Linked DNA regions of Oryza sativa Japonica Group. The protein of the gene in region 1 interacts with the protein of each later gene in a biochemical or structural test. Links are inferred from orthologs where the notes say so. Each region holds a gene or a part of one and is shown in the gene's direction. Other genes may lie near its edges. The genes, in order: WD-40 repeat-containing protein MSI4 and histone deacetylase 6.

Evidence for each region.
Region 2: the proteins of WD-40 repeat-containing protein MSI4 (region 1) and histone deacetylase 6 form a complex in vitro, tested with the Arabidopsis thaliana proteins (2 studies listed by BioGRID). The link is inferred for Oryza sativa Japonica Group from reciprocal best matches to the Arabidopsis thaliana genes FVE and HDA6.

What each region holds. Positions count from the first base shown.
Region 1 is NC_089035.1:30,088,133-30,092,059, forward strand, and holds the start of WD-40 repeat-containing protein MSI4, read left to right. Parts: upstream 1-1,199; 5' UTR 1,200-1,237; coding exon 1,238-1,548; intron 1,549-2,281; coding exon 2,282-2,345; intron 2,346-2,524; coding exon 2,525-2,611; intron 2,612-2,987; coding exon 2,988-3,050; intron 3,051-3,296; coding exon 3,297-3,362; intron 3,363-3,465; coding exon 3,466-3,567; intron 3,568-3,761; coding exon 3,762-3,837; intron 3,838-3,927. UniProt on the Arabidopsis thaliana protein: Core histone-binding subunit that may target chromatin assembly factors, chromatin remodeling factors and histone deacetylases to their histone substrates in a manner that is regulated by nucleosomal DNA.
Region 2 is NC_089042.1:15,633,852-15,636,692, forward strand, and holds the end of histone deacetylase 6, read left to right. Parts: coding exon 1-147; intron 148-238; coding exon 239-381; intron 382-808; coding exon 809-899; intron 900-983; coding exon 984-1,118; intron 1,119-1,664; coding exon 1,665-1,688; 3' UTR 1,689-2,103; downstream 2,104-2,841. UniProt on the Arabidopsis thaliana protein: Responsible for the deacetylation of lysine residues on the N-terminal part of the core histones (H2A, H2B, H3 and H4). Might remove acetyl residues only from specific targets, such as rDNA repeats or complex transgenes.

The sequences.
Region 1 (3,927 bases):
TGTTGGTAGTTAACTCTCAAGTAAAAAAGACATGTTTGCCCTTCTGAGTTGTTAGGCATGTCCTAAACTTAGAAGGGCAAATATATCTTTTTTACTTGAGAGTTAACGGTCAACAGGCGAGAGTGGCATGAGAGGGTGCATAAATTTGGACCAGTGGCATATAGGGGAAGAGCCATTTTTCAGTGGCATACAAGAGATCCGACCAATTTTCAGTGGTATATAAGAGATTCTCTCTTCATGTTGTCTCTAGTCCTCATTAGTTGGCGACTATTGATTCAGAGCCCCCAATAGTTGGCGTGTTGATTTGCCGGTTCCTCACTCGATTAGTCAGCGATTATTAATTCAGAGCCCCAATAGTTGGTGTGTTGATTTGTTGGTTCGATTAGATCTACCACTTCAATCACAACTATTTCTCTGTGCTTAATCACTTTTCCGCAATATTTAGATTGAATCTTATCTTATTCTTGCAATGTTCACTCGTTTGCATTGCAGGGATCATCAACCATATGTCACGGTTAGTATGACATCGTTTGTGGTGTACCGATTTGCACGGCGTCCTCGACTTGCTCTGGTTGATAGCTACGTCACAAACGTCACACTGATCAAAGTGAGAGTTATCCTCTCACCAGAAGATCAGGCCATGAGAGAGAGCGTCATCATAAATAAACAAACACAACCTTAGTACAGATAGCTTATGCTACCATCTACTACCTCCGTCCCAAAATATAAGCATTTTTAGCTAAGAACCTGTGCTTATATTTTAGGACGGAGGGAGTACTATCAATATCAGTTCTATCTCAAGATATACTGGTTTAGTTTTTCGGACGTGTTTATATGATAGCTGTGAGTGTATGCCCTGTTCTTTTCTCCAACAACTTTTGGATTAAATTTTGGATACTCGTGGCACGCTTTTCAAACTGTTAAACGATACGTTTCGTGTGAAAAGGTTGTTCTAAAATATCAAATCAATCCGTTTTTTAAGTTTGTAATAATTAAAACTTAATTAATCACACATTATTACCACTCCATTTTGTGTGAAACACTTAATTTTAATCTTCATCTTCATCTTCAGGAGATTCAAACACCACCTTTATTTTCTTAAAAAAACCCAGTTCTATCTAACCGACATTTTACGCCCAGATAGAAATGGGCCTATCCCACACTATTCATCCGTTGGCCCAATACAAATGGGCCCAGCCCACAGCGCCGCATTTGTTTCGACCGCTTCAAGCCTTGGATGCTCTGCTCTGCCCTTGCATTCGGGCACAAGAGGGGTGGCATCTCTGAGCGGGAGCCACGCGCAAGGGTCCAGAGCAAACGCTCCTCATACGACAGAGAGAGCGTGACAGCGCGAGGGGGTTCGGAGGCGGGAGCGGGCGACGGCGGCGGCGGCGGGCGCCAGCGAGCGGCGAAGGGCGCGCTGGAGATGAAGGAGAAGGGGTCGAGGGCGGCGGTGGACGAGCGCTACGCGCAGTGGAAGTCGCTCATCCCGGTGCTCTACGACTGGTTCGCCAACCACAACCTCGTCTGGCCGTCCCTCTCCTGCCGGTAAAATTCCCCGCATCTCCTCCCTTCCTTCCTCCCTTCCGGCGGTTTCCCGCGCGTCTCGTAGCCATCGTCCTCCGTGGAGATCCATTTCGGGCTAGGGTTTTTGGGGGACTGTATCTAGGGTTTTAGGGCGTGGCTCTGCTTCGGTGACTCCAGATCTGTCGCTTGCATGGTGATTTGGCGGGGATGGCAGTGGGGTGAGGATGTCCCGGCCCCGGTTGGGATGTTAGGGTTTTTGGGACGGGGAGGTTTTGTGGGATGCGACTGTTTGTTTGAGTTTGGTGGTGGTGGTGTGTGTGTTTTTTGGGGGGGGGGGGGTGTGGGTCGATTCTTCCGTGTTCATGTAATGCTTGCTGATGCGAGTCTCCCTTCGAGATTTTATGGCTAGTGGGTTGCTGTTCGTCCATTTCTGTCTATATAGTCGATATAATAGGGTCGATTCTTCCGTGTTCATGTAATGCTTGCTGATGCGAGTCTACCTTCGAGATTTTATGGCTACTGGGTTGCTGCTCGTCCATTTTTGTCTATATAGTATATAGTCGATAATATGATTACCTGTTATGTTTTAGAGTTAGATTGTCATGCTTTATCCGTGCCTGTTCTGTGTTGAGTTGTGACATATCATCTTGTAATTCGGTTTAAAGCTGTGCATGTTGGATTCTGTCGTGCTTTTGACCTTCAATAGTGGTTCTGCAACTAACGATTTGATCTTCTCATCATTAATTGTTAACAGGTGGGGACCCCAGTTTGAGAAGGCTACCTACAAGAATCGTCAGCGTCTTTACCTTTCAGAGCAGGCAAGTGCTCCCAAAATAAGTTGTTCTTTTTCTTTCTTTTGCTGTAGGGATGTTTTGAAGCTCAAATTTATGGTGAAGTTTGAATTCAGATATGCAGATGGGTCTTCTTAGCTAGAAAATTTATGTATTCTTAGTTGGATATTAAACTTTAGCATTTGCTAACCATGTGATTGTTGCAGACGGATGGGACTGTCCCTAATACTCTGGTTATTGCAAATTGTGAAGTTGTCAAACCAAGGGTTGCAGCTGCTGAACATATATCTCAGGTTTCCACTTTTTTCAGTGACCCATTTGAGTTTGTAAAATGCAGAATCATGCTACGTTTGAGATGAATGGACATAGCTGGTCCTTTTTGCAGATTTAATTGACCCGAGGTGTCAGCTTCCCATCTTAATGTAATCATTAATCAGAGATGTGGACCTGTAGTACCAACTGATAGTTTACTATGCCTAATCTGTCTTATTAAATTAATAAAAATGTCATAACTCGAACATCTAGATTTGCATGACTTCAGTCTTGTGATAGCGGTGTATGAGACTGCCTTACATTGGCCTTAAAAAGACCTGAATTAGGAATTCCTTGCACTAACTTGAAGTCTGTTTACAATGAAACTGACCGGATGTCTCTTATTTTTTGTTGCAGTTCAATGAGGAAGCACGATCACCTTTTGTAAAGAAGTACAAGACTATAATTCATCCAGGCGAGGTACAAGCTCATTCAATCGTGATTGTTGATTTCTCTTTCCTTAACTTGAGGATCATTGCCTCTGTATGAGATCTTCCATGTTGTGTGGTGCATATATTGGCTATAAACTTTAGTGGTTTAGATGGCTTGCTTTTCTTTTGGAGATAGTGCTTGAGATGTGTCTTTTATTTGTTTAACCCCGTGTCCCCGTCAACATTTATTTAACCCAATCGTTGATGTATTGTTTCTGTTTTACCATGGACACAGGTGAACAGGATTAGGGAGCTTCCGCAGAACAGTAAGATCATTGCCACTCATACCGACAGCCCAGATGTATGCCTAGAACTTTGTAGTGCTGCCCGTTTCTTGTGATCATCAATCCCTAAGCATTTCTGTGATGGATTTGTAGACTGAAGGCTTTTTTGTTCATTTGCAGGTTCTCATTTGGGATGTCGAGGCCCAGCCAAATAGACAAGCTCAACTGGCACAGATGGAGTCTCGTCCTGATTTGGTACCACCTGACTCTCGCCCTGATTTGGTATCTTTTCTTATTTTCATTCTCAACCTATATCATTTTGAGAAGCTGAAATTGCAGCTTCATCTGGTGTATCTGCACACAAGTCCTAAGAAACTGTGTTATGGAATCATAGAATATATTGAAAGGTTTTCATCTTTCATAGTTCGAGTTCCCTTTTCACACTTGTGGCTTAGTAGCTTAAACTGTTTTGACAGATATTAAGAGGACATAAGGATATTGCTGAGTTTGCGCTTGCTATGTGCCCAGCTGAGCCATATGTGTTATCTGGAGGTTAGCAATATTTTGTCTTCTTGTATGTTTAAATCTTTCTAGTTTATACCCCTCACACCTTTTGTATTTATTCACATATTGTTCTGGTGT
Region 2 (2,841 bases), on another chromosome or scaffold:
GCTGGAGACAGGTTAGGTTGCTTCAACCTGTCTGTGAAAGGTCATGCAGACTGCCTCCGTTACCTTAGGTCATTCAATATTCCTATGATGGTTTTGGGAGGTGGGGGTTACACCATCAGAAATGTTGCTCGCTGCTGGTGCTATGAGGTCTTACTTTTATCTCTTATTTCATGTACAACTGATTGAAGTTGTTGGTTTCATGCTGAACAGTTCTGATGGAATATGGTTGTTGCAATAGACTGCAGTTGCTGTTGGAGTTGAACCTGATAACAAGTTACCTTATAATGACTACTATGAGTACTTTGGTCCTGATTATAATCTCCATATTCAACCCAGAAGTGTGGAGAACCTGAATTCGACTAAAGACCTGGAGAACATAAAGTAAGTGGACTGTTTCTATCAATATGCTGAATCATCTTTTTTTTTTCTCCCATAAGTTGGCCCATCAGCTTCTGTGTAGGGTGCCTCAAGCGATGTTTTTTAGTAGTTTTCTCAGCATGTCATTTATAATGGTGTTTCCATATTCACTATCTATACTGTTCAGCATATCACCATTGCTATAAAATGTTGGAATGTCTCTGAAACTTCACACCTTCAATTAATGTTTCATTTTTTACCCTGTATGAATTTGTGACTGTATCTTTTTGAAGTGTGTTCCCATATTCTGTAATTTTCAAATGTAGATCATGTGAAAACCACTTTCATCGCTCCTTGCACTTTGTTGCTAGGGTCCATTTTCTCACTGCTTCTTGTGTTCATTTCCTTTCTGTAGTGGTTAATGTATTTTTGTCATTTGACTGATCTGCAGGAGCATGATATTGGATCATCTCTCAAAAATTGAGCATGTTCCGAGCACTCAGTTCCATGACAGACCATCAGATCCTGAAGCTCCAGAGCAGGTTACTCTCTTGGCATAATTTTGTATTATTCTGTTAATTCGTTTTCTTGCTTTGTTGTGCAAATTTGAGAATGTGCTCTTGTAGGAAGAGGAGGACATGGACAAGAGACCACCTCAGCGCAGTAGGTTATGGAGTGGAGGAGCTTATGAATCTGATACAGAGGATCCTGACAACATGAAAACTGAGACCAATGACTTATCTGCCAGCTCTGTCATGAAGGTTTGAACTTATGCTTATGAGAATCTTTCTTCCATCCTATAGTGTACTTTGTTCTTGAGAATTTCTAGTTGATGCCGTAATAGTGATGAATATTCTCTGTTATTGACGTTAAATTTTAACCATCTAACTAATGAATTAAGTTTAGATTGACAAAGTGAGCACTCAAGCATATACTCTCCATTCCAAAATATAAGGCACTATCATCCTTAACCCAAAGACCAAGAAACAATTATTTTCATCTCTTCGTTTGGATCACTCTAATAAATACAATTCATGCACCTAATAAGATTAGAGATCTTGAGGATAAAGGATTTAAAAAACAATAATTTAGTTGAGAAGAGGTGCTAGTTAATTATTTGCATGCATGCACGCCTTGTATTATGAAATATCTGAAAAAAAAATGGTTGTGCCTAATATTTTGGAATAGAGGGAGTATATAGCAATAACAAATAAAATAGCTTGCAGCTTGTTATGGCAAAACTCCGTATGTTGCTAGCGCTATTTTTGGAAGATCATAGTGCCTAAAGTTCAGTGTTATTCGTGCAGGATGAATCGAATGATGATTCCTAGAAGAGATCCTGCGATTCTGGTTCTCAGCACTCCTGATTTGTACGTGCATGCTGAAGAACAAGGAAAGTATCTGAAGATGTCTGATATCTGCGCCTGACCATTTTGCAAAACAATGAATGCTTTTTTGGGTGCTTCTAACTTTCAAGCATGTCGGTAATTCTGGTTAGTCGGCGGCACATCCTCAAATGGTTTGTGCCAGAGGAGTGTATGCTAGAATGATTCTTGCGCTGATATGGATTTATAGTTCTTTTATGTTCATACTTCTCCGATGTGTTGAACTCATACCGCAGATCCGCAATCAGTTCCCCCTAGCCTGTCCAAACTTATTTTTTGTGGCATTTGAAATCCATCTGAACCGCATTGTCATTCATATTTTGATTAAAGAATGCCTGAAGGGAAAATTAGTTCAAGTGAATTCCCAGCATAGCTGCTGCGGCTGCTTCTTTTTTTTTCTTTATTTTTTGAAATGAAACTGCTATTATAGTTGTCGTTGGAAGGCGTGTTGAACTGTTGATTGTCCATTGTTGGTCGTTGGAAGGCGTTGTCCGTTGTCGTTGAAAGGCGTGGTCATTCGGATCAGGTGTAGTTGGGGGCAACTTCATGCATTCCACTGCCCGCTGTGAGATCGAATCTAAGGACATTATTCATTCGATACTATAACAGCTACTGTAGGTCACTGTAGAAGCGTTGCTGTAGCTATAATCTGGTCCGTTCATCAAGAAAGCTGATGGATAATAATTCATGTTGTAGCTTAACTTGCAGTGGACTGTGTTGACGCAAAACGTGTCCTCTGCTAACACACACTGAACACCTTGTGTGTGATTTGCAACGGCACTAGAGATGTGCTGCCGCAAGGGATAGATGCTACCAAACAATCACCTGGAAGGAACCTTATCAAGATGAATTCATGTTGGTTTGTGTTAGGTTGTTTGGTATGGTAGTTAGGACATTCTCATAAAGATGAGAGACGATAAACAATGTACTACCACGGGGATACATGCTAGCAAACAATCATCCGGGAGGAATCTTGTCAAGAGACGATAAGCAATTATAGGATTGGAGGGTGAACATACAGAGGATAAAAGAAGAAAGATAGAAGTAGGGTAAGAAGATATATACATGTAGGCATAGTATATTGGTTTTGGTAATGGAT